Linked DNA regions of Alligator mississippiensis. The main gene of each other region encodes a partner of the protein of the gene in region 2 in a complex. Links are inferred from orthologs where the notes say so. Each region holds a gene or a part of one and is shown on either strand. Other genes may lie near its edges.

Region 1 (15,279 bases), on a different chromosome or scaffold from region 2:
TCCCATCCCAGGGGGAGGAGAGGGTGAAAGACTGTCGCACACTGGAGATGTTACACACCCATCTCACACCTGCTCTCGACACTCCAAAATTTGGGGAATTGCCTTTCTCAGCTGGATCAAGCCCATAACACTATGAGCTGAAATTAAACTGAGAACAAGATAACAGGAAGAACAGGCAAAGCCAGGCTGTCAGAGACATTTCCATCTGGACCAGAAGCAGGAAAGCCCAGAAATCCCACAGGAAAAGTGTTCTCAAATTTGAAAGGTTTCTCAAAAGCAACTGAATTTTCCAGACTTGTAGCCTGTGCTTAGTTCAGGACTTAGGGACTTCGCTGGCTAGAGGTCTGTAGGCCCAGCACCCTCCTAACTCAAGCCGTGATTCAGCAGCACTAGTTAGTTGGGGGCTATATCAGACCGGGTCTTACCTTTCCTGTGAGCTCTCAGGGGGGTCTGGCAGCAAACTCTCTTTCCCTTGATCTCCTCCATCTAGCTGAATGAGGTCTTCCAATGGCTCCTCTTTGGTAAGCTCTGTCCTGGGAGCTTGAACAGGGGCCTGTGCTGGACTGGCCACTTGTGTCTCTGCTGCGCACTCAGGGGCTGATTCAGGGAGGCTCCTTGAGGAGCTGGATTCTACTTTGGGTGTTGCCGTGATTGATCCCCTGGGGCTGGGGATGCTGTTTGACAGCAGAGTCTTTTCCCCGTTCTGCTCTGATTCTCCAGTTGTCGAGGGGGGGTCTGCTCCAGGGGCAGGGGCAACAGAAGATGCTGGGGACTCTGGGAGGGATGATGGGGATGTGCCACAGGCTTTGCCACCGAGGTTCCCTTTCTCTTGACAGTTTTTGGAGCTCTTAGCCCGTTTCCCTGCATGGCTCAACCGGGGCATTGTCCCCATATGGCTGTACATGTCGGATGACCTGACATAGGGGGTGGGGCTCTTGGGCATGGTGTTCAAGTCATCCTGAGTGCTGTCAAAGGGGTCCTCCAGGAAGCCATTGGGTTGCAGGAGACCCGGCCCCAGGGTCTCTTGTGCGCTGGGGGCGACAGACACTCGCCGGATGGTGAACACTCGATTGATGTTGCTCAGGCTCCCAAAACCTTTGAACTTGAAGAACTCTGGAAAAGATGAGAAAGCATCAGTCTGTGTTACTGCTGGGATGGGGAGAGCAGGGATGGGCATAGGAGACCCGGGCCATGGGACTCATCTGCATCCCAAACTGAGACTGTGATAAAAAGGACCTTTTGCATTGGTGTGACCTGGTGGTACTCTCCTGAACCTTGATTTGGGCCAGTGGGTTTGCGCCATTGTTGTAGGCTGGCGACAATGGCACTGACCTTTGTTAGGCTAATGGAGATATGGGTCTGGAAAGAGTCGGGTAGGAACTAGGGGTTGTTAGTATGATTCACTCCTGTGCAAAGCAAGTACAAGATGCTGCCAGGCACCTCCATTCACCCAATCCATGTTCACACACTGGCACAGAGGCAAAGGACAGCACAAGGAGCAGGGCTGTTGAAAATCAGTCCACACAGCATCAGCTAGGGGATGGGGTAGAATAGTAACTCTTCCCCCTCTTCTGTATATATCTGGCCAGAGAAGCAAACCCATAGCCCCAATGTCAAGGTGAAATGACAAAGCCAAAAAACATCACTATTTTGGGGGATCCACCATAACCAAGGTGTGAGTGCTTCCTGCTGGCTGGGCAGCAGCCTGCCAACCCCCCAGCACTTGTGCTATTTGCTTAAGGCCAGCCAAGTTGATGGGTTTCCTTAAGGAATCCAGGCAGTGGAGGAGCATCAGGCCAGTGAGGAGAGCAGCATCTGATACTGCTCCAGTGACCCAGCAAATCAGCACTTTGTGTCAGCCTTTGCCCACTGGTTGGCAAGGTTTTGCTCAGTAGCTACAGCCCCATTGGGGAGTTCTGGCCTCCTTTGGGGCATGTTCATCATGGCCCCAGGGGAGGCAAGTCTGACAGAAATGCTTAGGGAGTGTGAGGCCTGCTCTGCTCGGGCATGGTGCTGCTGAGAGGTGAGCTGCCTTAGGCGCCTCCTGAGACACTGGTTTAAAAAGAGGGAGACCCCAATAACAAGCTAACCTCTGCTTCTCCCTGCTCCTGTGTCCTGCTAAGCCCAGTGGCTTCAGACCAAGGTGGGACTTTGAGACCCAAACTCAGATGCACTCGTGAGGGCCAAGCAGTCCTCTAACCCCGCAGTCAGGCTCTGCCCTCTGGGTTCATGCCCAGGATGGGCAACAAGGTGGAAAGTGATTCTTTTCCTCTCCAACTAGCCACAGAAACGTAAACAGGGCCACCTGCCGCCCCTCTCCCAGCCCTCTCCCTGTCTCAGCAAAACACTGACAGCTGCAGAGGAAGAAGCTGCATTTGTCTGGCTGCTGAGAACAATTTATGACAAGTCTTTACACACACGTGTGCATGCACACACACACACACACACACACACACACACACACACACACACATCGTGCCATAGGCTTTGCTCCAAACTAAACAGGAGGAAACAAGACAAGAGAAATGACAGCAAAAAATAAATTTCAAACCCTTTAAACCTGCCCTTTTTAAGTAGGTGGTAAATGAGAGTGATCAAAAATAGTCTCCTGCATCTGCCTCTGGCTTTCATTTCTTTTCCGCTCAGTTGGGCTTTTTCAGGGAGGTGAGAATAGCCGGGGGTCCCAGCACTGCCCTGCGCGCTTGGGGTCATGTCTGGTCTCTGTGCAGTAGGTAATAACCAGCAGTTCTAAGAGTTGCTCATCTTTGAGTCGATGCACCTGGGTGAAAATGGAAAGAGCCAGATGCAGGGAGCAGGTGCATCCTCTGAAAAGAGCTCTGGACCATCTCCAGGCTTGCCCTATGTGTAACTGGTATGATCATGAGACTAGTATCCTCCTGGTATTTAAAAAAGCCAAAAAATCATGATTTCATTTCCATGTTGCAGCTCTTGCCTTATCCAGTACCTGGCAATGTGTAGCTGAGGGCAGGATTGGGCCCCTACCAACCATCTGACCTTCCTCTGACTTGCACATCGAGTCATCAGTTATGCCTATGCAAAGTGGGGGTCACACCCAGCTGCTGTGTCCTGGTAGCATTCATCCCTGCGTTGCAGACCAGCTACTCTGCACCGTAAGCAGTTCTTTCAGGCAGAACGTGACTCAGATCGGGAACAGCCTTGAGACAGGCTCAGCTTCCAAACAGAACAGCCCCAGATTGCTAGCTGCCTATGCAGCCAGCCAAACAGTGTATTGAGCTATCTGTCATGTCTGGTGACCCCCAATAATACAACCATCAGGAGTATATAGGGGTATGGCAGTAGGTGCTTATTGGCATGACATATGTATCTGCAGGGAAAGCCACAGAGCCGTGGCAGAGAACCAGGCAGCTCAGCGGGAGGAGGGCAGGGCTGCTCTTTGATGTGGGGTGTCCTGCATGCTGATCCCTGTGTCCTTTACAAGGTTCTGCTTTGTAGCTAAGGATGCTCCAAGCTAAATGTTGCAGCCAGTGCAGGATAGAAGCCAGAGGCTCGGGGCCCAAGTGGCTGCCTGCCTTGCTGAGCTAGAGTCAGATTAGGGGTGAAGCCCTTGGGCAGGCCCAAGACTGAGCAGGGATAGGGATCCCAACTCTTTGCCCCAGCACTGAGGGGCGTTCCAGGTGCTGCTCTGTGCTTGTCGCTACCATGGCTGGCACTCAGCTCCCAGGGCAGCATCTGCCCCACCAGGCTATGGAGAGAGGGAAACCAAGTGATGAAAGAATCCCAGGCCCCAGCCCTGGCCCTGGGGGGCAGGCCAGGATATCACATTGGGCAGGAACTGCCTCCTAGCCCTGCAGCCAGGCCCAGAACCCAAGACTCTCGCTTCTGAAAGGTATACTGCCCGCCCCAGAGCTGTCAAGACAGGTGCTGCCCAGTTTCTTCACCTCCTGGCCCCGTGGCTCTTTCTGGGCTACCAGGCTGTCACGTTGGTGGGGACCCTGAGCCAGGCAAGAGCCATTGGGGAGAGAGTCAGGATTGTGTGTGCCTACCTGTGAGCGTGTCTGTTACTGTGCAACATGAGTGTGTGTTTCAGCATGGATGTGAGACCACGCAGCTCTGTGCCTTTGTGAACACGTATATATCTGTGTCATCTCTGTGCCTCTCCTAACTAGCTCAGGGCACCGTCACACTGTGAGCTAGCACTTCGGCCCAGCTTTCCGCCAGCAGCACACACTGTGGGAAGTAGATAATCTACCCACTTCCTAAGCTGAGCAAGCAAGCAATGACTGCTCTCCATTGCTGGGCTCGTTTTACAGCTGCCACCACCTGCTATTGCTGACTGCAGAGTGCTAACCAAAGCCCTAGTTATAACTTAAACAGGATGGGCTTGTGTTTCTCACCTTGGCCCCTTCCCCCGCTTCTCCCCACTGAGATGGTGGTTCAGCGTGGGAGCTGAATCTCACAGCCCCCCAGCTTTGCCACAAACATTGGCAGTACACGACCTCACTGATTTACCTACCGCCTAAAGGCTTTTTTGCAGCTTGGTGACCACTTCCTGTGGCAGCTGCTTCTTTACATGCTGTTTAGGGAGCCAGTAACTGAGACTTAAGCTTGTAGTTTTGTTCTCAGGGTACCGCTTTGCTCTCTCATCATGCTACAACTTAGTTGGCGCAGGGATTCAGGCCAGGGCTAGATCGGGCAAGAGCGGTCCAGCTTGATGTGGGGATCACGGGGCGGAACTGTCTGCCTGGAAATTTTGTGCAGGACAGCAGGTGAAACGATCACAGCTGTCTCTTCTGGCCCCAAAGGCCCTATGTTTGTGACTGCTGCCTTGCAATGCAACCCTTTGCCCTTTCCCAGCCCTGTTTTCTGAGGTTCTCCAAGACATTTGCAAACACTTGCAAGTTAAAGCTTGCAAAACTTCTGCTGGGGAAATGAAGGTACAAGGAGGGGAAGTTATGAGCTTCAAGTCATATACTAAACCAGTAGCAGAACTAAAAGGGGAACCCAGGTGTCCTGCACTTTAATGACTACCTTGTACCATCCAGCCAGACCACCCATAATCATAACCATACTTGAAATAAGTGGCTGAAATATGTCTCAGTGGATCTATTTTATTGCTGTCTATTTGTATTCTGGTAGTGCCTGGAGGCCTTGACTAAGATAAGTTGTTCAAGAGGTTGCACAAACACAAAGGGCATGTCTTCACTGCAGAAACAGACTGCTTGTACTGCTGGTTAAAACAGCAGTGAAAACAAGGCAACTTGGATTTTAGCTTGGGTTAGCAGCTCAAGTCAAGCTCACAGAGGACCTTGGGCTGTCCTTGAGTGGCTGAGCTGGGCTGCTTTGTCTTCACTGTTATTTTATTTTTACCCAACCCAAGCTAAGAACATAGCTGAATGAGTTTTGTGATGAAGCCATGCCCGTGTGAAGATGGGCCCTGCCCTGCACAGGTTCCAGTCTGAACAGACAGACTGTAGAGCACTGGGAGAAGGGAAGATTGAAAATCAAATGTCTTTTTACTGTTGTTTGTGCCTTTGAAGCCCTTCCTTCATAGCCAAAACCTTTGCCAAAAAAATGCTACGCCCCAAAATGGCAAATGCTCAGAAATAAGAGATCAGAGATCTGGGTTCAGTTCTTGCTCTGCCCCAGCCAGCACTCTGTGACTCAGTTTCCCTCATCCCTAAATCAGGACTATTCTCTCTGGTTGTGAGGCTGGTTCATGTTTGTGAATCATGTGGTGATCCTGACATAGAAGACATCAGATAGGGATGATTATCTCAGCCACGGCACTGAGGGGTTTGGGAGTGGAAAAAACCTGCAAATTCAGATTCTAGCAGAGTGTTATGACAGGGAGGCTTGCTGGGAAGGAAGAGAAGGAGGGGGCAGAAAATGAAAGCGTGGTAGGGTAGCTGCCTTTCAGTGTGCTGGGGAAAGCCCCAGGTCTCTAGGAAAGAACAAAGTTACTCCCACAAGATGCTGCTGGTAAATTTCCTTTGCAATTGACTCTGAATGGCAAATGATCTCTACAAATGTGTAGAGTGACCACTGGCTCCAGCGTGATCTAGGGGAAAAACTCCCATTGCAATGAACACCAGGACTTTCCCTATAGCCCAGAAACACTATAGCCCTATAGCCTGAGTTAACACTATTAGAATCTGTGGTTGGGGACCCCATGCAGCCTCATCTCTTCTGCATAGTCCCTCCAAATGCAAGTCCACAAGTCCCCCTCAGCATCCAGGATCCAGTATGCCACCAGTCTCCATCAAGGTGCAGGATTAAGAGTGGGGACAGAGTCTCATGTGGCTCCGTTGAGCTCAAGGTGGCAGGGAAATGAGAAGGATGCCCACCTGCATTTCTACCTCAGTGCCCAATTTCATACTGGCTGGAGAAAACTGTTCCTAGCAAGACAGCTTGGTTTCAAGAGCGGCCAACAGACAGGACTGTTTTATACGGTGGCACCTGCAAAGCGCGTCAGAAACTCCAGTCGGCCCGATCACACCAACCCACCCCATCCAAAGCAGGAGAGCCGACAGCTACACTAAATCTCTTGGCTCTGCTACCCCAGTTGCTACATAGGCAGTGTGTTTCCTCCGCAAGTGCCACTCACTAGCAGCCCATGAAGATAGCACACAGACCCCCATGGTGTGGAGACCCACTACATGACCTACACCCAGGCAACTTTCCCCTGCTTGCTTCTGCACTATGCTTGGCCTTCAGGCTAATCAAGGAGCACCCACATGACAGTCCCCAGCACACACCCCACAGCTACTTACTGAATTTTTTGAAGCCCCCTTTCTTCTGGCTCTCTGCCATGTTCGGCTGCTGATGGAGCCACTGAAACAAAAAAGGGTGTAAGTTTATAATCTGTCTCTAAGCCCTCCCCTCTCTGCTCCTCCCTTCCTCTTCCCCCCTGCCCTCCTCCTCATTCACTCTACACTTCCTCTATCTTTGAAAGTCTCCCGCACCCACCCGCTGCTCCCTCCTCTTGCTTCCACCACAAGGGTCCCCTGTTGCTGGCATGAGCACCCCTGGCTGGTGCTACGGTTAGCCACCGTGACCTGTTAGTAGCATCCTGGGACTGCATCCAGCTCAGAGCTCCGTCCTGCTGGATGCTGTGCAAACACATAGGACAACCTGGACCCCGCTCCAAAAAGATCAGTCTCAGGTTAATATCTGCTCTCGCATTGGCCAAGAATCAAACCTGGGGGAAGGGGAAGAGGAAGATGTTATCAGTGAACCTCCAATGACTTTTAGCTTCTCCCTCTCCACCCAAGGCCATGAGGAACCGGCAGGCTGGGTGATTGTCTGCATCACCGAGAAACCTGCAGGCTGGGTGTAGGGCTAATCCAGAATGAAAGACATGCTCATTCTGGAGTAAGAATGTCCACATAGGAGCTTATACTGCTATAGCTATAGCAGTGTAACAGTCATCCTTCCTGCTCCTCCACTGGCCCAGTGTAGGGCAGAAATTAGTCTCTTCAACTCCTTTCCTTCCTAAAGGGGATCCTCATCCTTATCTCTGACCAGTGGGTTTTTTACCAGGCCAAGGCATTAGCAGCTACATCAAGGGCCAGCAGGTGGAATCTGATTCAACTCTACTGGAGTATGACACTGGCACAAGTGGAAAAATCTGCCCTGGGTAAGACAGGCTGTTTGTGCTTGAGTTCACATTGTCAACTTAGACGTTGTATGTCTGAGCAAGGGATGAAACCATTGGCTTCCGTCATTGTGGCTGGAATTGCAAAACAAGAATGAGGGAGTAAGAACGATTGCACATTTTTATTGTGCTGCCTCACTGGTCACTAAGCTCTTCAGCAAACCATCCTTGCTGATTTTGCCACACAAACAATGGGTCAATGCCGGGCCCTTTATGGAGTTACTCTGATTGCAGTGGATTTTATTGGGATGTGAGTACAGCACAGAAATGCAGCCACCTCTGTGACAGCTGCTTCAACTCCACAATGGCGTTTGAGTAGAAGGGACAAAGAATCCTGAAGGATGGAAGCAGACAATAGTGGCAGCAGGTGCATTATTAAGATGAAATTTAGACAGAGCTTTCTCTAATAATGGCTGCACTGCTGTCACATGGCAGCTTTCATCCAAAATCTCCAAGTACCTCATAGAGCTTGAGGAATTGTACAGAGGGAGAGCTGATGAAGCAGGAGTCCAAAGGCTTTGCTAAATAGCACGTGGAAATTCAGTGCCCAGGTTTGGGGGGGGGCATGAATCCTGTCCTGACCACCAGAAAACAACACCTTCCTCTTGTGTGGACAAACTTCTAGAACTGCCCTTCCTCACTGTAGTGCAGTGACACACTTTCTATTCCCACGCACAGTGTAAGCTGGAACCATGCCCTCACCTGTGCCCTTGAGATAGGTGTGGTGTGTGCAACACCCCTAAAAGGTATAAGGAGTTATTCAGCAGAAACTGTATCACCTTAGCAAACAGTTGGAGGTTTTTTTGCAAAAATATTTATTTCTATGTATATAAATATAGATATATAACTCTACCTACAACACTCTGCCAAGTGGCCCTTGTGGTTCACTTGGCAGCTCAAAGCCCACTAAAAACCCATTACACAGTTCGCACCATGCAACTGCACACACCTATCCCTATACCCGTACCCCCACCCATTGGCCTCCTCAGAAGGGCTAATCCTGAAAAAGTCTATAAAGGAGAGGATTCACGGGAGTGCTTTAGCTGTGATCTCTGAAGGGTCAAACACTGGCTGCTGCTAGAGGTGTGTTGCCAGAAGGACACTGCAAGGCCTGGCAAGATAAGGCCAATCCTACGTGCTACTGCTGAGAGTGAGGAACAGAGAAGAGCACACACAGAGTAACAGGCACTCCCATGGATGAGCATTTAGTCCTTCTAACTAAAGCAGGCAGAGAGTCTGGTGCCTTAATCTCAGTGGAGTGCCACAGTCTGAGTAGATGTGAAATACTTCACATAGTCTGGGGCTCAGGGGAGCCTGTTTCATGGCTGGCTCCCAGAGCACCTGCATAGAGTCAGTTTGGCTCCAAGAGGATTAAAAGCAGCACACAAGGGGCCGGTTCAGCAGCCATCAGGCACAGAGCTGCATGGGAGGCAGAGAGGGTGGCTGGTTCCAGAGGCATCACCAGGACAGCTCTGTGATCTGAGGGAGCACTCTGCAACATCCCAGAGGTCCTGATGAGATGGAAGCGCCTGTTTCTTTCCCCACCATGGCTAGATCTCTCAGGCTTAGCCGGACAGCTTAAAGGATACCTGACTAGAGGGCAGCAGCCAATTTGGGAATGCTGCCTGGAAATGCAGCATGGCATCCGGCACCCCTCACCCAGAATGAGCGGGAGGCCCTGGAGATGCAAGCTGGACAGGGAGGACCCCAGTGGGTGAAAGGGAGACCTATTGACTGTGAATAGTGGAAAGGCCAAGGGGGTGAAATTAGGCTCCTGCTCTCTGTAAACCCAGCCTGGGTTGGTGCAGATCAGAGCCATGCTCGAGGCCAGAGCCATTCTGGTCCTAGGAAATGGTGTTGGTTGGGAGGGACTTGTACACAGGGTATGATGGAAATGTAGTGGTGCAAGCTCCTGCAGACCCAGCTGTCCCAGGGGACAGACCAGGTGGGGGTCAGTGCCTCGATTAGAGATTGGGAACCCCCAGCAGCCTTCCTTTGGTACTGATGTCCACCACTTCCATGCCTTCCATGCCAAAGGTGTGTTCCTGAAGGCTGGGACCAGTTGATGCCCATGGACAGTGGTGGTGAGAAGAGAGGACTGAGATGGTGAAAGGGGGGCAGCATGGCACGGGCAGGGGAGAAGGCTGGTGTGGTTTGCAGAAAGGCTGTGCCTGGACCTTGAAGAGGCACTGTCCTGAGTTGGTTGGGACCGGCTGTGCTGTGCAGAGGCTCCGTTTTGCAGGGCCCCGCAGCTGGGACTCAGATGCTTGCTGGGGCAGGCGGCTGCTGGGTTGGGTTCTTTGGCTCTGAGTGATTGCTGAACAGCACAGGGCCTGGAGTGTGGGGAGGACCTCGTATGGACTTGGTATGGGGCATGGGAAGAAAAGGGGCCTGGTGTGGGGCAGCTCCTCAATCTGCCCCAGACCCTGAACTCCCTCCAGAGGGAGCGGAAGGCCATGGCTGTTCCCTTTCCCTGCCGGTTTGCTGGGAAGGCCACTTGCAGTCTCCTTGCTTGTCAGGCGATGCCCAACACATGCACAGTTGCAGAGGAGCAGCTGGGCTGGCACAGCTTGAAAAGGCTTGTAACACGATTAGCATTTCCCATGCTGTGTCAGAACCTGGCAGGGCCAGGAGGAAAACCTCAGGGTGAGCGCCGGGGAATGTGTTACTGAGGGGTGAGGGCAAACTAGGGACCAGAGCACAGGAGCTGGAGCAGGGCCTGTACAATATCATTCAGGCTTAGTAAGAAGCTCTTGCTGGTCAGACAGAGGCTCATTCCTCATTAGAGACAGTCTGTGCTTTGGTGTTTGTCCCTGTACATCCCTGATCCCTTTGTAAAGCACTTTGGGATGTGTGGTGTTTGCAGCCCCTGGAATCCTGTCTGGTTCTTTTACTGGACACATATTGTCTCGTCCTGCCCGTCTGCCAGCTCTGCTGGGTTCAATTTACCTTGTAAACAGGAAAAGGGCTTTGCATTTCCATAACACCTTTGGTCTGTGGATGATTGATAAGCAGGAATTCATTCTACCATGCTTTTGTTGAGGCAGCAAATAAGTGCCAATGCCAAGGCACAGAAAGGCTTGGTGACTTACCCAAGGTCCTACAGGGAATCTATAGCAGAATTGGGACTTGTATCCAGACCTCCTGAATCCCAAACCTATGCTTTCAGGAGAAAACCCTCCATTCTGCTTTCTGGGTACACAGTGCCGGTGACTTGATACAATAGTCACCGGCACTATAATAGATACAATAGTCGTGGTATGTTCTGGGCTTTCAAACATATTAATGTTTCTAGGACTCAGGGGCAGCGCTATGTGTATGTCACTGCTATGGGGTGCATTAATCAAGTGAGGGGAGTAAATGAGGAGCGGATGCACTGCAGGGACCTTTCCCATGTATGAGAACGATTGATGGCATCTTTCCCTTCAGCCTCCAAATCTAAACAGCTGCCAAAAGCTACAGAAAAATTAATGGAAGGTTATTTGCCTGCATATCACTCAGAGCTGAAGGCAAGATTGAATTTTGATGGATGATATCCCCATTTGTCAACAAGCTTTTTCCCCCCACTGTTATTGACTCACATGCTTGCTCTGGATTCAGGGGCCTTGCGTTACCTGCCCAGAGTGAAGCAAGCCGTGGAAGGCCAGAGAACCGGGGGGTGCGATTGCTTTGTCATAGTTCACATCAGCCTCGTGAGCGGATGTCTGCATCTCCTGCTGGGATGGTGCGGAGGCAGCAGGGTGGTGCTCTGATTGGGGGTCCTGAGAGCTACATCTTGGTTCACGCTTGTCTGGGTGGCTGTAGGACCCATGTGGTTCTGCAGTACAAGCTGGTGGCAGGGAGGTCACAGAGCTTCAACCTGCACTGCTTGTGCCTGACCGTACCTGCTGTCTGGTTAAGCAGACAACTGCAGAGCCACGGCCCTGGCAGTCCGCCACTTCCCTGAGCTCTGCATCGGCACAAGGGTTGTTACACTGAGCTCTCTGTTTCTGGAAGCAAATTTGAGAGCGTTGCCTCCGCCCCTAGTGCCTCTGCTCATTGTCTGCTCCTGTTTACTGTGTCGCTTCCTGCCAAACTCCCCAGGGGCCATAGAAGAAATCCAGTCCCCGGCCCCTGACATGGGGAAATGATACAACAGGATGGAGCAAAGCAGCTCTGGCGACAAGCGCTTGCCCCTGCATAACAATGAACTCTCTTGGAGCTGACTGAATTTGGTGATATGGGCCCCAACAAGCTGCCCAGAGACCTGCGAGGTGGTGATTCACCGGCACAGTGAGGGTGTGGGCAGCAGCTAGAGCATGACTGTCAGGGGAGCTGCACACTGTGCTCCCTCCCCTTGGACAGTCGCTCATAAACACACACTTTATCAGCTGGCTGTGCTCAGAGGAGCTACTTGTTGTTCTGCATGCACACAGCTCTTTGTCTCCGCAGAGATAGGTGAAGCCCCTGACATCACAAGGACCACCAAGCCAGACAGTCGGCCTTCACGACAATGGGTCAGCAGCTACCTGTGTCCTTCACGGTACCCTCTCCAAGGCACGCACGCACTCTCTGTCATAAGTAGATTCCTTCCCAGCACAGCTGAGCGTGTTTTATCTGCAGGCTTCCAAACACGAGACAGATAGAAAATGTTGTCTTCTCTAGTTTACTTGGAGCGAAAGGGGAACACCAGTAAACATCAGGCACAAAGGTTTCCAGCAAAGGCCATGATGGAAAATTTTCCTCTAAGCGACTTGCCTGAGTCTCTGACCAGCCCCAGGGCAGAGGCAGGATAGAACAGGAGTGCAGACACCCAGTCCCCCTGCTCTTGCTAGAAGGCAACTCTTCCTAGATAAGGCCTTGTCCACACTAGAAATGCTCTGATTGTGTAGCTGAATAGGCCTGCTCTCCTGTTCCAGCAGTTCTCTGAATGAAATAAGCTGTACCAGTTGGATATCGGCATCGGGATTATCCAGAAGCAACATTACTACAGTGGCAGAAGCTTCTGAGTAGAGCTGATCTAATGTCAATGGTGCACTGTATCCTCTATCGCGGGGGTCAAAAGGGTTTTGTACCACTGGTGTGATGGCAAATCACTGTGTAGGGGGGTGCTCGAGGGGCTGTTTCAGGAAGCAAAGGACAGAGAAGACTTTTGCCGGCACAGAACATCCCAGCACAGTGCAGAATTGTGGAATCCTTTTCTCTTGCAGGCAGGTGTCCCCATAGCTGGCGTCATAGAGACTGGTGCAGCCTGTTCGGACACATCCTATCCATCCCCTGGGGCCAGTGCAGGATTGTTCCCTCCACTGTGGATTGCAAATGCTGTGTTTTGGCAGGAAAAGAAGCTTGGGGCAGCTCGCTCCGCTGCCACGTGAGCTGGGTGGGAGTTTCCTTTAGGAAGGTGGAAAGTTATTGTATTCCTTGTGCTGCCTGGAGACTCATCAGGCCTGTTGATTAGAAGTCACTCTCCTTTCCAAACAAATGAGTTAGGACTGACAGGGCTGCCAATATGGTTTCCTAGCGGGGAGGCAAAATCATAAGACGATCACCTCCATACATGGGGCTCTGAGTCCATGGGGCGGGAAGGGACTTGCTGCAGTGGGCAGAGGGCTGTTCCTTCCCTGAGCAAATGGTAGAACAGAAAGGAAATGTGGGGTGATTGGTAAGGATCACTTATCCCTGCTGAGACTGGATAAAGCTGCTGCAAAGTTGTGCTGCCCTACTGGAGAGCTGCAGCCCTGTGGCAGGGGCTGCAGGCTTCCCTCAGTCCCTAACACAACCTGCCCCATTGCTATGTGGATCATCTGTTGAAAGACATGCAGTGCCCTAGCCTGGAAGCTGGGAAATACCAGCAGGTGGTGCCCAGAGTGAAAAGGTACCACTCGGGCAGGCAGAAGGTACCACAGAGCACAGCGTGCTCAGGGGTCAGGCAAGCACAGAGCCTGTGTCCCCGGGACGAGGGCCGGCATGCACCACACTCATCCAGATGACAGAATGGAAAGTCCCAGAGAATTCCTCTCTGATTGATGAATGAAATCTCTTCCTCAAAAATGCTGACTAGCAAAAGGACTGACCAATGAATCTGGAGAACAGCTCAGGTCCCACTTCCAAGATCTTTGTGTTCCTGGAACCCAAGGATATCTGAATCACTTGTGTCAGTTGGAACCACTAATGAATCTAGTGCCATGAGGCTGGGAAAGGCATCTGGGGGGAGGAGGGGGTTCAATTTCTGTTGCCCTGAATTGAAATGAAAATGGTTTCCTCCTTATCTCACTCCAGCTAAGGGGCAGGAAATGGATATAAATCAACATAGTGGAGTCAGAGACACAAGCCTTTATGCCTGCCGAGGCTCTGGCCACAGAAAACATCTGACACAGCTCCCAAAGGTCAGAGAAGAGACAGGGGACAGGGGAGCCACTGGGGCCAGTGTCCAGGCATCATAGAAGGGCTGAGAGGAGCACTGGACGCAGCGTGGGAGGGCTCAGAGAACAGGCAGGTGTTGCAGCAATGGATGCTTATGAAAACTGACCCAAGTGTTGGGCTCTCTCATGGGCACTGTCCAAACTGGCATCTGTTTAGGGCTCTCTCCACTGAGACTCATAGAGGCTATCAGTAAATACTGCTGGTGTGACAGGCTTTTGCTGCTGGTACTCTAACCTGTCTCTTTCTAGCTTACAGACCTGAGAATCATGGAAGAGAAGTGACTCGCCAAAGGTCACACAGTAGGGCAGTTGCAGAGCCAGTTCTGACTCCAGTTGCCTGCTTTACCCACTAATCACTGAGCCCGTCCCTCTCCTTGCCCCATCAGCTGTTTTTCCCTACATCTGTCTCCTCTGCCTACCTCTGTCCCTTGAAAGCTGGGCTTGGCTTTGACGTTTATCTCAGGACTGCTGTAAGAGCTAATCCTTTCTCTGCCTGCCTGCTGCGAATGATCTCTTCTCTTAGCTGTCTCGGAGCCCCCTGCTGGCACTCTGCTTATGTAGCCACCTGTGGCACCCTGACGGCTGCTGCTGCATCCGAGCACGCTGCCAAACTGTAACGTGGGCAGTAGGCAGATGTCACGGCGCTGGCCTCCTGGAGGGGAGCACGGGACGCTATGGAGGTGATTTAACTCAGTGACGCAGCTGGATGCTGCACTGATGCAATGCTGATGTGCCGGATAGAACGAGTGTCCTCTGCATGAGGGCATGAGGGGGTGTCACGGCGTGAAGCAACGATGCTGAGACACAACAGGATGGTTCAGTGTGGCACTGTGACTCAGGATGCGTTGCTGTGGCGTGTAGGCACAGGATGATGATGCAGAGGTGCCTGCGATTACTATTCCTTCTTTTCCTTCCCAGACTGACAAGAGGCCAGAGCCTGGTATTAGGGCCTTGTTACACCTTACACTATGAGCTGCACAAGTATAGATGGGGGGTCAGTGCTGGCTCGGGTTTGGAGCGGTCACACTTCAGGCCGGAGGGGGCCTGGAGGACTGAAAGGTAAGAACCCCCCCTCCCCTTCTGGGCTTCCCCCAGTCCCCTGCCTCTGGGGCTTCCTCCGTTCCCCCCTTGCTTCCCCTCACTAGAGCACTACTTACTTGTAGGTAGGTGGCAGAGAGCAAAGCCCTGCCCTGGCGCTCTGAGCCCCGCGCCACCACGAGCGCTGCAACCCAGCTTCAGGTG
Region 2 (15,476 bases):
AAGAGCTCCAGCATTTTAGTCCTAAACCCCATAGGGCAGCCCCAAAGAGCTCATTGTGTAGCATGAGCACTGAAGCAGGCTGGTGCACTGATTTGTCCACCTTGGAGGCCTTCTGCAGGTTCAAGCAGAAGTAAAGTCAGAGCAATGGCATCTAGGAATGCACGAGCGAACCTGGGAAGCAACCCAACTGTGTGCACTGACGAACCGAGGGGGCACATGCACTGTTCTTTACTGGAATAGTATCTGATAAGCAAGCAGAGCAAATGTCCTCAGGCTTTGGCTCTGAATAAGCAAGGCCTTCTCAGCCCTCAGCTCTTGAGGCCTGTTAACATCCCACTTTAAAGCACAGAAAGGGACCTGATTACAAGGCACCGGTTCCTAGCCTGCTTGTAGTGGAGTTAGCACCCGTAACAGTGATTGGACCTGGGCATGTCCAAGTAACTGTGTAAGGCTTGTTTTGGCCATGCTGGCCTTCCATCAAGCTATGTAGTATACCAGGGATCCCATCTGTAGGGGATCCAATTCCAGCACCATTAAGGCATCAATAGACACAACCTGCACACAGATCTATCCTGTGGTAACTGAAACAGATGGGATCAAACATACTGCATAGCTAGGATGAAACCCAATCTGCCAGGCTGTGCCCCAGCAGTAAGGAAGGTGATGTGCACCTAGAAGGTTTATGTCTATGGGGCTTCTTCCCAGTACAGCCCACATTTGCAAAGTGATCTGCAGAAGAAGGAGGGCTCTGAATATCCTGCCATCTTTGAGAGATTGGCAGTCCTCTTGACCAGCCCACGCTTTGCATCTCAGTTGCACCTTTGGTCAGAGGGCTTCAAAGAGCCTAACTCCTAATGATGTCCTCCAGGCAGCCCTGACAACCCTACAAACACTAAACTGATGGTAAAAATGCTGTCCTCAGGCAGCACCAGCCCAAGGCAAGCCAAGGCTCCCCTAGGCCCCACACAGCTAAGACCAAACTGCTGATGTTTTCTGGTTCCTGAATCTCCATGTCCACAGAGCTGTAAAGTACCCAGGTGCTAGTTCCCACCATAAAGCCCTTCCTGCCTCTATCTGGGTGCAGCTCTGTGCTGAGCATCCTGTGAGAAGGCACAATAGACCAGTTGCCACTGCACATTTGCTGTCATTCTCCCCTGGCCACCAAGACTGCCAGTAGACTGTGAACCCCCAACCCCAGGCATACACCCACCTACCAGCACTTGCCCCCACACAGATTGATGAGGGTGCTCTCACCCTTCCAGCCTCCCCTCACTCCATTTCCAAGCTAAGCCAGGCCAGGCCAGGTCCAGGTAAACTCAGCTGAAGCCAGAGCTACTGCAGTGTCTGAGAGGCAGTGTGAGCCCAGAGCCCATCCACCAGGCGACACGTCTAAACATGATGGTAGCACTCTGCAAGCTGCCCCTGGCAGAAGGAGCCAATCCTGCAGATTTAGCATGTGCCCTGGCTGTAAATCCTGACAGAACAGGCCCAGAATGCTTCCCCAGGCTGAGGTGTGAAGCAGACTGGTTTCAGCACCCACCAAAACCATGCCCAGGGTGAGAAGGGGCAGTACCCACCAGCATCAGGGAGTGGTGGCAGGAAGATGCTGAGGTGTTCCTGCTGATATCCTGCCCCTGCCTCCAGGTCTCTACCCTCCATCACTAGTGCAGTGGAGACATCCATGCTGAATGCTATGGACACGTCCATGGGCTGCTTGTGGATCACACTCCTCAATCATTCTGGGCTTGCAACTATAGCCTCATTTACCACCATCGCTGAAATCCTAGAACCAAACTAAGAGCTCTGCACTACATTTCATGTCCCTGCCTCTTGATGACAAGACCCCACTGCACTACCTATTCCAGTCCCACTGGCACACCCCCAAACAGTGCTCCCTATGTGGTGCATGAACTGAGAAGATGTGGCTTGTCCTTTAGAAGTGCCAACAGAGTCCAATATGGACCACCTAGAAAACAGGGAATCTGAATGGGACGGAAGCAGTGGGAAGAATTAGCTACAGACCCAGCTATCTGCCTTTCAAGGTGTCATTCCATGGGAAGAACCCCCAGAGCCTCAAGCTAGCAATCATAATCAGTGTCAGAGGGTCAGCAGAGCCACAGTGCACTGTCCCTACTCTTTTCTTCCTTGGAGTGAGACGCCCCCCCTTTCACACACTGACCTAAGAAAGTCATCACAAGCATGCCATCAGCACACACCCATCTCAGGGATGGGAGTTGGCACTTAGCAGAAATGTTAAATGAAGCTGCCTTGTGTGGGAGCCAAAGTGTTGCTTCTCAGCACCAGGTACATCCCCTTTGAACTCCTGGGGTATCAGAACCTTTGAAGATGTGACACTGAACGCCATTAGCAAGGTTCTTGGGTTCAGTCACCCCATCAGCTTCTTCCTGCTTGTAAGTCAGTAGTATCCCCAGGTAGCCTTACAGAGCGCAGCCTTGGGCTGAGCCATAAACTCCAGCGCCTCTGGAATCAACTGGGGGGCAGCAACCCAGGTAATGATCATTTACTCTCCTGTTCTTTGGTGGATCTCTTACCCTCTGGCAGCTCCCAGACCCCCTTCTGCATTCCTTGCCCATCTCGCCTCACCCCAGACCTCTTCCCACCAGTATAATTTGAACATATTCAATGCCAAGCTCTTTGCCCTTCTACCCACACTCAGACCCCTTCATCACACCATGTGGGGACACAGAGCAAATGCATCCACACAAGCAACCTTCCCTCAAAACGGCTGCTTCAGCTCAGCTCTGCTCCCCCACTAGCACAGAGCACCCGCTGAGGAATCAAGTGAGGACATCTGTGAAGGGTGGGGGGCTCCCCGATTGTTAGCATTCCTTTGGCTCTCATCACAGCCTTACCAGCATGCCTTACCACCCTTAATGAACTGGCCCTCCCAACCTCCCTGTGCAGCAGAGCAGTGTTATTATCCAGGGCAGAGCGGGGGAACTGAGGCACAGGTAAGCTAAGTGACTCAACGTCACCCAGGAACCCGGTGGCAGAGAAGAAAGCTGAACCCCAATCTCCCTTGTTCCAGGCTAATGCACTCACCACTGAGCCATCCTTCCTGTCTGGGTCACCCTCTCTATACAGAACAGCCTTACCACATGGGGTATCTTTTCCATCCAGGGAGCTGTGAGCCCTACACAATGTCTGAGACCAACCCCCACCAGAAGCTGTACACTATGAGCAACATCAGGCATCCGCCTGTCTGCCTCCAGTCTGGACTTGCCTATGGCCCAACACCTGCAATTTTAGGCTCTTGTGCAGCAGCTGCACCCTCAGGGCATGGAAACTGCAAGAACCTTCCCCAGACCATGCCAGGGCTCAGGCCCACACCCAGCACTCCTTTCCACTGGCCCCTGGGGCGGCTGGGAGTGACGACTCACTGGAACTTACACTTTCACAGGCAAAGGGAAAGAGAGATAAAGGGCTGCTCCACACCTTGTTTCTGAAACAGCCCTTTGTGCACCTGATTTTACAGCCCTACTTCAAACAAGGCCATAACATATGCCAGGGGTGGTGGAAGAAATCCCACATGGTACTGGCCCCCCAAAAGGTCACTTAAACGGGATAGCCAACACATGCCTTCTCTCAAAGGACTTACAGCCTCTGTTCCATTTAGGGGTCTTCTCTCCCCCAAGTGCAATGAGCCTGGACTCTCATTGCCATCTCCGCATGCTCCAAGTTTCTTCTATTTTTTGGTTTGTTTGCTGCTTCTTTGTTTTTTTTAACAACGTAAATGTCAAGAAGTTATAAGGGGGCCTTTACATGCACACTGAAGAGAGCTAGGGGAATAACTCTCATGTTGTGCATTAGCAACAAACTCGCATGGCCTATTCCCAAAGCACAGGCCCCTTGGTGAGGGTGTGAGATGGCAGGATGAACCCTGGCAGCAGTGCCATGCATACACCTACCTGGCAGAGGAGCATGCTACCCCTGCCTTTTGGGAGGGGAAGATCCCTTATCACTCCAGAACAGGGATTCTCAACCAGGATGCACAGCACCCTAAAGTGCCATGAGATCCTTTTCAGGGTGCCAGGAAGTGCCCACACTATCAGCCATGTTAGCTGTGCAAACACCTACACAAGATAAACCTAGTGACTTCAAATAGGAATTCATAGTGCCGAAAACATTCCGACCTGCTGTGCTCTTTCTGAGTGCTTTGCAACAGAAGAACTGCTCTATTATTTTTCTGTAGTCAAAAAAAAGAGAGACAGCTAAGAGCTGGCATTTTCCAAGTCTAACAAAGTTGAAAACCAGTGCTCCACTTCCAGGGTCCTGTGGTTTGCAAAGATGGCCTGACTGGTCACCCAGGAGCACCATGACAAGGGGTATGAATCTGGTGCTGCACCAACACGAGAATTTCCAATGGACAGAAGGAGAAAAGTGATTTGCAAGCTCCTGGCAAGCCAACTGCCCTTATGCTGGCTCTCTTGCACCCTGAAGCAATGTTTCAGGAGGTTTTTAATGCCAGAAATGATCCTTTCCTCAAGCTGCCCCATTGGCACTGTATGTTGTAATCACACATGAAAAAATCTCTCCCTTCCCCCAGCCCTATACTGTACTCACACAGCAAGATTTGCCAGGCCTGGCAATTGCTGATTATCTCCTAGTGAATCATTAACGTTGTACTCTACACTGCTGCTGGAGCCAGCCGGCTTGCTGACGTGCACTGAGAGGACGTTCATGCTCTCACACGCACCACTGGATGTGCCAATGACTCCCAGCTCCCCCTCCCCTCCCTGTTTTACAACAGCCGCCTTCTAAAACCATCAAATTATAGAAGAGTGTGGAGAAGCAATGGCAAATACCACCTTAAGGAGGGCAACACAGTGGCATCACCTTGCATGGGACTTTTGCCTGGCATCAAGCAGACTGCCACTCAGCCCACTTTATGGTGTTTCAGCTTTCACAGTACAGTTTGGATAATAAAACTCTCCTAGTGCCCAGACTTCCAACCTCTGCCTCTGACCCAAGCCCTGGCCTGGCCTGTTCCACTGCTGGCCCTTGACTCCCAAATGTCATGATACCTGATCCTAGGCTCTGGCCTTGGGTTCATTTTATTTCCATTCCCCTTCACCCTATCACCATTTGAACAGTGGATAATTCTGAACAGAACTGGTCTCACCTCCAAGCTGTCACTTAACCATGAAAAACACAGGGCGATTTAAAAAGGAGACTGGCCCTGAGCCAGCAATCCTGTTAGCAAGCTTGCCTCTAGTTATGCTACAGTCTCTGACCACTGCCCCATCATGGAAGGAGAGGAACTAGAGGCTGGAAAGAGAGCCTAGCAGCCCTGTGGGCCCAGATATCCAGACCCATGTGCTGCTAAGCATAGTCACTTGCACCTGGGATCAGCAAGAGGGCATGGGAATGCCTGCACGAAACTCCTCCTTGCTTTGGTGACTGCCACAGGGCAGCTGTAGCTCAATGATATCATCCTGTGGATGGTGGGAAGCAGGAAAAGAAGATGGGCAAGGTTCCTCCAGGAAACAGAAATATCCCAGCAGGGTGGGAGAAGGAAACCGCACATATTGTCCCCTGTTCTAATTGCAGCAAGTCTCATTCTCAGATGGGGTCAAGGTTGTGGTAAGAAAATTGCTGCTTGGGAGTTAGGGCAGGCCCTGGAAGTTGGCCTCTTTGCCAATGGCTTCTTGCATGACTTTGGGTAGCAAAACTGCTTGCAAGGACATGGGGGACATGCAGGTATGAACTGGCTGTGTAACCTTCTGAGTATGTGTTACTGGTCAGAGCAGGTCTGGGAAGTTGCTTGTCAAGCTTTTGCAGGCCAAGATGGCAACTGTCATCTCAGTAAATCACTGCAAGAACCTGGCACGAAGGGGCTAAATGGAGAAGTTAACCTGGGGGGGAAAGCAAGGGTCCAACCATAAAAGAGGAGGACGACCTGGGGGAGGAATAGACCCCAAGGCCTCTGATTTAAAACAAGCTAATTCTCCACATCATGGCTTCAATCTTCTCCTTCATCCAGGTAATTACCCCCTCCAGCCACCACATCCAGATGCCTAGGAGGTGCATACATATGGTGTTAGATTGAGAGCCTGGAGTCTTATTTTCTGCACAGCCTCCCGGCAGGGACAACAGCAGCAAGCATGCCCCTGAATGCCTTGCTGCCAACATCCACGCACAGAGCAGTGCAGCACTCTGCTGGCCCCAAACGAACGCAACTGCAACATGCGTCTGCCTGATGCGGGGGAGAAGGAGTTGGGCCCCAGCCTCCCACTAGCTGAGGTGCCCGATTAGCACCGACGCCACTGGTGGGTTTTACTCCAGGCACATCTGTCCTCCGAGAACTGGGCTACGATTCTGCAAACTTGTCACTCAAAGGTCCTTAAGCAGCTACAGAACTGCAACAGCTTTAGGTCCCCAAAACCGCTGGGCGTTTAGTCCTTTTCTGCCTCAGCTTTGCTGCAACCACAGCGCCGTTTCTCCAGAGCTTCACATTCAAATATAAACCAGTGGATAAGCCAGGGAGCCTGCGCTGGCAGCACGGCAGACTCGGCAGCTGCCCTTCACTCCCCTGCAGGGAAGATCCCCGCGCCGCTGCCTAGGAGCCGCCGCGGCCGGGAGGCCGAAGCCGGGGGCCAGCGCGGGCTGCGTGCGGCGGGGGGCACCGGGGGAGGCTGCCCGCGCCGAGGCCGGGGAGGCAGCCGGCGCGGGGCCCGTGCTGTCACCCCCGGGCGGGGGAGCCCGGCCCTGCTGCAGCCGGAGCGCCCGGGCCGTCCACACGGGACCCGCGGCCTCCCGCCTGCTCCAGCCGCCGCCGACCCCGGAGACCCGCTATTGTCTGCGCCCGGCCCGGGGCGCCCCAGGAAGGTCCTCGGGACAGCGCGGGGGGCAGAGCCGGGGGGGTGGGGGGGCACTCACCAGGTAGTTCATCTTCCCCGCAGGCCGGGCCGGGCGCCGATCCGGGAAGGGCCCGCCCGGCCGGGAGGAAAGTTGGTCGCGGTGGCGGTGGCTGCCCCGGTCCCCGCCCCGGCCGCGCGGCCCCACCGCAGCCCGCCCCGCCCAGCTCAGCTCGGGAGCCGCAGCCGCCGCAGCCGAGCGCTCCCCGCGCGGCGCCGGGACTGGCGGGCTGGGCCGGGCCGGCACCGCGCAGCTCGCCCGCCGTGCCCGCCTCCCCGCGCCCATTGGCTGCGGTGCGCGGGGGCGGGGCGGGGCCGGGCCGGGCCGGGCCGGGCCAGGCGCTGCGCACACGTGTGATGAGGTTTGGTGGTCTCTGTTTGCACAAGCGTGGGACGGGTGGTGCTGCTAGTGCACAGGCGTGTGGAGGAGGCATGGGCGTGACGGAGCTGCCCTTGGCACGTGCACACGCGCGTGTCCTGGGCTGTGTAGTGCATGCACGCGAGCGTGTGTGGGACGGCTGCGCAGTCCGCCTGTGCACGCGTGTGTGCCGGGGCTGTGCAATCTGTATGCACACGTGGCGCGTGTGAAGGGGCCGTGCCATCTGCACGTGTACATGTGTATACTAAATCGTGCAGTAAGTGCATGCACTTGTGTGTGGCAGGGCTGTGTGACTGTGTGCACATGTGTGTGACAGGCTGTGCAATGCGCATGTTACACGTGTGAGGGGACTGCAGTCTGCATGCGCACATGTATATGACATGCGCTATGCAGTCTGTGTGTGCGTGTGACAGAGGTGACAATGAAGGTTGTGTGCTTGTGTGGCAGCAAGGTCCTTGCAAGGCAGAGTGGAATATGCTGTCTGTGTGCTTGGATAGTCACAGATTCACAGAAAAACAGGGTTGTAAAGGACCTCAGGAGATCAGCTACTGTCCAAACTCCTACTCAAGGCTGGATCCTCCCTGTCTCTACCATCCCCGAAGAATGTTTGTTTAATGTGCATTAAAAAACTTCTAGTGATGGAGACATGATGACCTGTCTCTAGGGAATCTGTTTCAATGCCAAACCCCACTCAGAGTTAGAAAGTTCTTCTGTCTACCGTGAATCTCATATTTAAGCCCTACAGAGCAACCTTTTATTGTACTGAAGGACTGTCATCCAATCTTTCTTTTTGTCTTCTCATCCCTAGAATAAATTATCTCAAATTTCCACACTGTTTTCATGTCACATTTTTAGACCTCTAATCTTTTCTTGCCTCTCCTTTGGAATCTTTCAAATTCATTCACATCTTTCTTAACGGGTGGTGACCAAAACCGGACAGAGTACATCAGGTGAGATCCCTGGAGTGCTGAATAGAGTGGAAGACTCACTTTCCATGACTTGCATGTGACAGTAATAAAAGTTACTAGCTTTTTTCTCAACAATATTACACCACCGATTCACAGTCATCTTGCAGTCTACTATAATCTCTACATCCTTTCTGCAGTATTTCAGCCTTGCCAGTCATTCTCCATTTTCCCTGTGTGCATTGATTGTTTCTTCCTAGGGCCCCTGCTACACATTAGTATATTATACAATTAGCTGGTTAATCACACAATAAATATTGACAGGCCACATGTGCAAAGTAAGATTGGCCACTAGTGCAAAGTAATTGTCACAGAATTAACTGGTTAATTGTGCAATAAACTTAGACCAGCTATGCATGCAAAAGTAATTATCACATGATAAAAATTACTATCCAGCTATAAAGTTAGCGCTTGAATATGTGGTGCAACTCTATAGCTGGTTTCTATCCAGCTTCAACTTGAATATGTAGCAGGGCCCTAAGTGTAGTATTTTGCACGTGTTCTTTCTACAGTTCCTCTTATTTATTTTAGACCATTTCTCCAATATACAAAAGGTCATTTTGAATCCTAATCTTGTCATCTAAAGTGTCTGCTACATCACACAACTTGGTGTCACCCACAGATTTACTAACTGCATATTCAGTTCCATCCTCCAAGATATCGATGAAGATATATTTAATAGTGGACTGAAGAAAAGGTGAAGAATCCCATGTGATAACTCTTCCCAATTGACATGGAGCCATAACTACCCTTTAAGCATAATTAGCCAACCGGTTATGAGCCCACCCTAAAGAGTTTTATTTATGTTATCTGTCCTTAACTTACTTATGAGAATGTCATAGGAAACAGTGTGAAAAGCCTTATATAGTCCACATAGAAGTCTCTTTGTGGCAAAGACAACAACAGTCCCGTAGAGGGGAAGAGAGACCCATAGCACAAGGGAGCAGGGATTGGCACCCTGTGGCAGCAGCCAGATTACAAGGGGTAGCCTGCTGCTCTAAAAGGTTGCCAACCCCTTCTTCTTTTTTCATATGACATTTTAGGATTACAACATTCAAAGATTAATATCTAAATTTGATAACCATTCAACTGCTTCAGGTGTAGTTGCATGGATTGATTTTAGATCTCCATTAAATGATCTAATTGGGCAATCATTCACAATGCGTTGCATCATCTGAAAAATTGCACCACAATAACAACTTGGAGTCTCTTTGATTCTCCATTTATGGAGTAGGTGCCCACGTTTTCCATGAAGTGTCCAGATGTTATTCAGGGAGGACCAAATCTTTCTTAGTAGGTCAAATTCTGACTGGGGAAGTGTAGGATCACAGATGATGTTTTTCTGTGGCAAGCTGGTATTTACCCAGGCTTCCCTTCATTGTTCTTTGGTGCTCTTGTTATCATTATAGAGCTTGGTGTATTTCTATTTCTCAGAAGGGTTTTCTAGATTTGAGCCTATCTGGTGGTGGCATAGTGATGTCCTTGTTGATTAGGAAGTTTGGGTTACCGGTGGCCTTATGGTATTCCCTCATGCATGTGGCATTGTGGCGGAACTGTGGGGAAGCAATGTTTGCTAGGACTGGAAGCCATGGCAATGGCATACTTTTTAGCATTCCTGATATAATCCTCATAGCTGCATTTAACTGTGTATCAACAATTTTTGTGTGCACACTTTTGTTTATTCTGCTGCAAAGAAAACAAGTGCCAGAGTGCCCATTTGAAGCATGGTTGTATTTGCTCCCCACGTCGTTCCGGCCAGTTTATGCACAAGCTTAACTCATGGCTTTCACTTTTTTAGCAACATTCCATAGAAGTTCACAAAAGGTGAGGCTCCAATTGAAAGTTAAGGTATTTTGGGAACTTCTCATGCTTAACCTCTTCTCCACAGAAAGTGATGGCAAGTTTCTGGTCAGTGTGGGCATTGTTTAGATGAAATGACATGACGACAGTTTTCCTTGGATTTGGGTGGAGTCTCCAACATGCGCAATATTCTTCAAGCAATTTGAGGTCTTTGCAAAGATCTGCCTGGACTTCAGCCTGAGTCCTTCTTTGAGTAGCAAGCAGCAGGTCATCAGCATAGCCGAATTTCCAGCTGGTGGTAACAGGAAGATCACTTATGTATACATTAAAAAGTTCTGGTGCAAGCTCTGATCCTTGTGGGAGACCACTATTTAGTAGACAGGTTCTTTTGACAGTGCTCCCTAGATGGACGTGATATTGCTGGTTAGACAGGAGTGTTGATAAAAGACAGAGTACCTGCTGGCACCTGATGACCCTTGACGCCTTCAGGAGGAGGCCATCTTGCCATAAGCTGCTGATAAATCAATGAAGGCAGCTCCCGTGATCTCTTTGCACTGGTACCTGGCTTCAATATATGTAATGAGTGCCAGCAATTGGTTGCTAGTGCTGTGTCCAGGGTGAAAGTCAACCAGTTCAGCTGGTATAACCTTGAAGATGAAAAACATGTAAACCAGTAGCATTTTTTCAAGAAGTTTATATATTGTACAAAGCAGGGATATAGGGCGGAAGTTTTTTGGGTCCATGGTTGATTTTCTGGGTTTTGGAATAGCAATGACCTTTGCTTGTTACTGTATCTTGGGAATTTTGCTTGTGGCTATTATGTTGGAGAAGAGTCTGGCCAACCAACAGCCTCCTTTTTGGCCAAGATGTTTCAAGAACTCGGGGTAGATCCCATCTAATCCTGCAGCCTTCCATGATCTGGTAGCTCTTAGGGCTTCAATGACCTCTTCTTCAGTGAAGGGAGATGACTGGGCTGTTTTTGTTGTACTCTACACTACGTCATTGATTGATGGAGTCAAGCCCTTACTTGCTGTCTAGTCTGGTGATCTGTAATGGTCTTTCTATCCAGCAGCTTTTTTGAGGGGATGGCATTTACGGATATATTGATGATCTTATTTGTTGGTTGTGGTGCTGCTTCTGGTGTCTCAGGAGGCTCCAAGCTTTATGGCTTGAGTGTGTGAAGTCTATTGACTCCATTGCTTTGGTCCATCTGTCTTCTGGATTCATTCAGCAAGTTCAAGAGAGCTTTGCCACATTCCGGGTTTCCTGAGTCCGAGAATTCCTGGAACAGAGATTTGCATTGTTCAGGCCACCATGGAGTGTACTCCACCCAGTAATGCTTGGGGATGTATGATCAGGCCACTTTGAGCACAAGCTTGGTAAAGTACTCACAATTTTCAGGTTTTGGTGGAATCTGAGAAACAGTGCGCTCAATATCCTCAGTAAAAAGTTCCCAATTAGCCTTTCTGAAGTTATATTGTAGCATGGGAATGGACATTATTGTTGGAATTTCAATCCCTATGTGTATCAGGACTGGCCTGTGCTGGCTGTTCAGGAAATCATTTAATACCAGCCAACCCCTGCTTAGGTACTTATAAATCATTTTTTTTCATGTTATGTTATCTCTTCCTGGGGATCAAAGTTAGACTGTCAGTTATATCATTCCCTTTGCCACATTCTGGGTTTCCTGAGGCTGAGAATTCCTTTTGTCCCCCTTTGAAAGGTAAATAGTATTTTGTCCTTTTCCAATCTTCTGGGACCTCACCCAACCTCCATGAGTCCTCGGAGGTAATGGCCAATGGCGCTGCAATTACCTTAGCCAATTTCTTCAGTACTCTAGGATGAATCTCACTGGGTCCTGCTAATTTGAAAACATGCAACTTAGTTAATCAATCTCTCCTTATTTTTCTCCTACTCCAAACTGTTTACCCCTGTCCAGGATGTTAGTTTTATTCATTTATGAATACTGAAGGGAAAAGATACCAAATCAGTGTTTCTCAACCTTCTTAGACTCAATGCACCCATCATTAGAGTCAAGGCACTCTTTGTTAAACTCAAGACAGCTCTTGGAAAATGCTAGCTCTTAGTTTTCACTCATTTTTTACTATGGAAAAATAATAGAGCAACTTTTCTGTTGCCTAGAACTCAGAAAGTGCACAACAGGTCAGACTATGGATTCCTATTTGAAGTCTCAGAGTTTATTTTATGAATCATGTTTGCACACCTAACTAACATGATGTGACACCCCATGGCATCCTTAAAAGGATGTCAAAGCACCCCAGGGGGCCATGGCACCTTGGGTGAGAATTACCTCACTAAATGCTTCAACCTTCTCTGCACAGTGTATTATTAACTTTCCCTTCCACTCAATAAGAGACAGACACTTGCTTTGGTCTACCCCTTCTCCTGTATTCATGGAAAGCTTTTTTTTATACCTTGTATGTCTCTTGCAAGCTTCATCTCTGCTTATGCCCTAGCCTTCCGGATTTTGTCCCTGCATGCCTATGCTGTATTCATATACCTAGTAGCCTGGCCAAATTTCTACTTCTTCTAAGATTTCTTACCAAGGTTCATGTAATTGAAGGGCTTATGGTTTAGCCACGCAGGTTTTTTGCTGTGCTTTCTCATTCTTCTCACTGGGATAGCCTGCTCTTGTGCCCTCATTGCCTCTTTAAAGAACAACCAATTTTCCTGCATTGTTTTTCCCTTTATACCTTCCTCCTGTGGGATCCAACCCAGTAATTCTCTATGTCTGTTTAAGTCTGCTTTTCTGACATCCATTTATTTTATTCTGCTATTTCATGATCACTGTCACTCAAGTCTCATATCTGTGTGACAGAGTGATAGTGAAAGAAAGAAACATGAAGGCTGTGCGTATGTCTGTGAAAATAAAATCTGGCATGTGTGTTTCACAGAGAAGCAGCACAGTTGGAAGGAGACTGAGTGGACTGTGAAATCTCTATGAATGTGAGAGAGAGATTATAGGCTCTGCATTCTGTGTGTGTCAGTGTCTGTGTGTGAATGACAGAGGGGACTAAGCAGTTTATGTGCATGTGATCAAGATGACTGTGCATTTGGTATGTGTGTGTGTAACAGAGAGGACTGTGTAGTCTATATGACTAGAAATGACAGAACTTTGCAGTGTGTGAGTCAATATATTGGTTACATAGATAGCACTTGGAGTGACGTGAAATTCTTCATGAGGCACTTCAAGTTTCATTTTTTTTTCACAGGAATTTTCTAAAAGCACTAATTTTAGTGATCAAAAACAAGACAGCTATGGGGTAATCTTGCACTGGCCCAGGATCTAGGAGATCTGGATTTACTTCTCAGTACTTTTGTAGTCTGCCTTTGTGACCCGGGGCTAGCACTTTGGCTTAGTTTACATTTAACCTTTTACAGGGATAACTATGTTGGTGCGGGGTGTGGGTGCTTCACATAAATAACTGTGTGGCAAGAAGCCCTTGGTGAATGTGGTTACATAAGTATAAAGACACTTTATATCAGGATAGTTATTCCTCTTCCCACATTACTTTATGCATATACAGTAATACAGCTGGTATGAAGCACCTTATTCAATAGAACTGTACCCACACCATGTAGAGCAAAACTTGTACAAGCCATTAGGGCTAGAATTGATGTCCATAACTAGGACCCAATTTGGTAGAACTCAGCCCCTCATTAGGCCCCTAAATAAGGCCTGCATTTTCCAAGGTGAACAGAAAAACAGCCCTGATCATGGGTGCTGAGCTCTTCTCTACATTTGTCCCACAAAGCCTCAGGCCCCTATTCAGCAAGGCATCAAGCATACCTTTCAATGTATGAGTAATCTCTTTTACTTCAATGAGGCTACATGCTTAAATGTTTCAGTGTAGTGCCCTTCTCCTTCCCCTTTGTCTGCCTTGTTTAATTAGGCCCTAAGTGCTCTGGGGCAGGAACCATCTCCTGCACATGTATTTAATGCTCAGTATAATGGGGCTGGGATCTCCATTGAGGCCTCTAAACCCTATTGCAATACAAGTGATAATGGCTGTGGAAAAAGCCTGGCCCAGTGGAGATGAGCAAACATAGAAACAGGAGAGCTGGATTCTATGACTGGTTCTTATTGTTTGAATTCTAATAGTTCCCTGTAACAGCAGGATCTGGTGCTTTAAGTGGGTGCAGACAACCCTTTTATAGAAGCCCAGCTATGGGTAATTAGCTACTCCAGGAGTAGCCCCACTGGCAGTTAAAAGCTCAAGGGGGAGAGCAAGGAAGTTTGAGCTATGGGAAAGAAGTAGTCTGTGAGCAGAAGGTGGACTGGAACCCAGACAAGATCAACACCAGGAAGGGGCCAGAGCAAAAAGGCTTCCCCTACTGTCCAGAGAAAGACTACAAGCCTTGGTGTACTGGTTTGTTTATGTGTGTGCGAGAGCAAGGGCTGTGGTTTTCATGTAAAGGTCTGTCTGAGGCAGTAGGCTCACTAACCTGCTTATGTGCCCCAAATTTGCCAGAAGCTGTACAAATGTAGAGGAGGGAGGGTATGCTCCGGCCCTGAAGAGCTTATACTGTATCCACACCCACCCACAGAAAGAGACAAGGGGGAGCAGGGAATATATCAGACAAGGCATCAGGGCAGGTGGGCACTGCCCACATGATAGTGTGCTGGACTCAGGAGACCTGTGACCTCTCTAAGCTCTGATACTGAGTTGCATTGGGACTTTGGGAAAGTCACTCCTACTCTTCTCTTTATCTGTCTTGTCTATAGAGGTTGAAAACTCTCAGGAGGAGGGATTCTCTTGTTATATGTTTGTACCACACCTAGCACAACTGCTCCCTGATCTTGGCTGGCAGTTCTGGGTGCTACCATAATATACATGCTATAGATATTTGATAAATTATTTTTCCTTGTCAAAAAGCTTGGCTCTGCCACTGACTCACTGAGAGGCCTTGAGCAAATCACTTGTCATCTCCATGCCTCATCTGACAACACAAGGATGGGCTCAGACCAGTATTGGTGGGTTAGCCTGTGGGCCTTGAAAGTTTTATCTATAGTAAAGCAAAGAGTTAAATACCAGTGGAGAGGTTCTATAGTGCTCTGCTTCTCAGAATACAATAGCACACAGCAGGTATTAAATGTTACCATGTTGGAATGGAAGTTTTACAACCACTTTGCACCTCACAACATGTAGAAGAACCTAGGTCCAGGCACTGGATTTAGATTGTGCCACTGTCCCATGACTGGAAGAATAGCCTATGAGTTAGGGCTCCTGCATCTTTCAATTCACAACTCTGCCTCTTACTTGCTAGGCGCCCTTGGGCAAGACCCTTAACATCTCCATGCCTGTAATATGGGTGTAGCAACACCAGGAGGGCCAGGCACTCTATGGTGTAGTGACAGTAATGAATGTCTGCAAAACATCCTAAAGACACAGACAGCAAACAATTATACAAGCTCAAAGGGGGAGGGGGTCA

What was found.
Region 1: the proteins of BCAR1 (region 2) and SH2D3C are in contact, whole or in part, in a crystal structure (PDB 3T6G), measured with the Homo sapiens proteins. The link is inferred for Alligator mississippiensis from reciprocal best matches to the Homo sapiens genes BCAR1 and SH2D3C. Residues at the interface, in NP_055382.2 of Homo sapiens: Ser739, Gln742, Phe746, Tyr747, Gln750, Asn754, Val779, Ser782, Lys783, Ile786, Leu787, His790, Val793, Phe794, Ile795, Asp797, Thr798, Arg801, Gln802, Ser816, Asn817, Cys820, Leu823, Arg824, Val827, Lys831; in NP_733745.1 of Homo sapiens: Thr543, Val544, Pro545, Val547, Gly616, Val617, Arg618, Glu622, Thr625, Leu626, Pro627, His628, Leu749, Leu752, Leu753, His771, Gly772, Val773, Glu774, Val776, Leu777, Leu780, Glu781, Ala783, Arg784, Ala787, His788.

What each region holds. Positions count from the first base shown.
Region 1 is NC_081835.1:57,374,478-57,389,756, reverse strand, and holds the start of SH2D3C (SH2 domain-containing protein 3C), read right to left. Parts: upstream 6,847-15,279; 5' UTR 6,793-6,846; coding exon 6,753-6,792; intron 1,114-6,752; coding exon 426-1,113; intron 1-425. UniProt on the Homo sapiens protein: Acts as an adapter protein that mediates cell signaling pathways involved in cellular functions such as cell adhesion and migration, tissue organization, and the regulation of the immune response.
Region 2 is NC_081833.1:41,199,341-41,214,816, forward strand, and holds the start of BCAR1 (breast cancer anti-estrogen resistance protein 1), read right to left. Parts: upstream 7,035-15,476; 5' UTR 6,913-7,034; coding exon 6,901-6,912; intron 1-6,900. UniProt on the Homo sapiens protein: Docking protein which plays a central coordinating role for tyrosine kinase-based signaling related to cell adhesion. Implicated in induction of cell migration and cell branching. Involved in the BCAR3-mediated inhibition of TGFB signaling.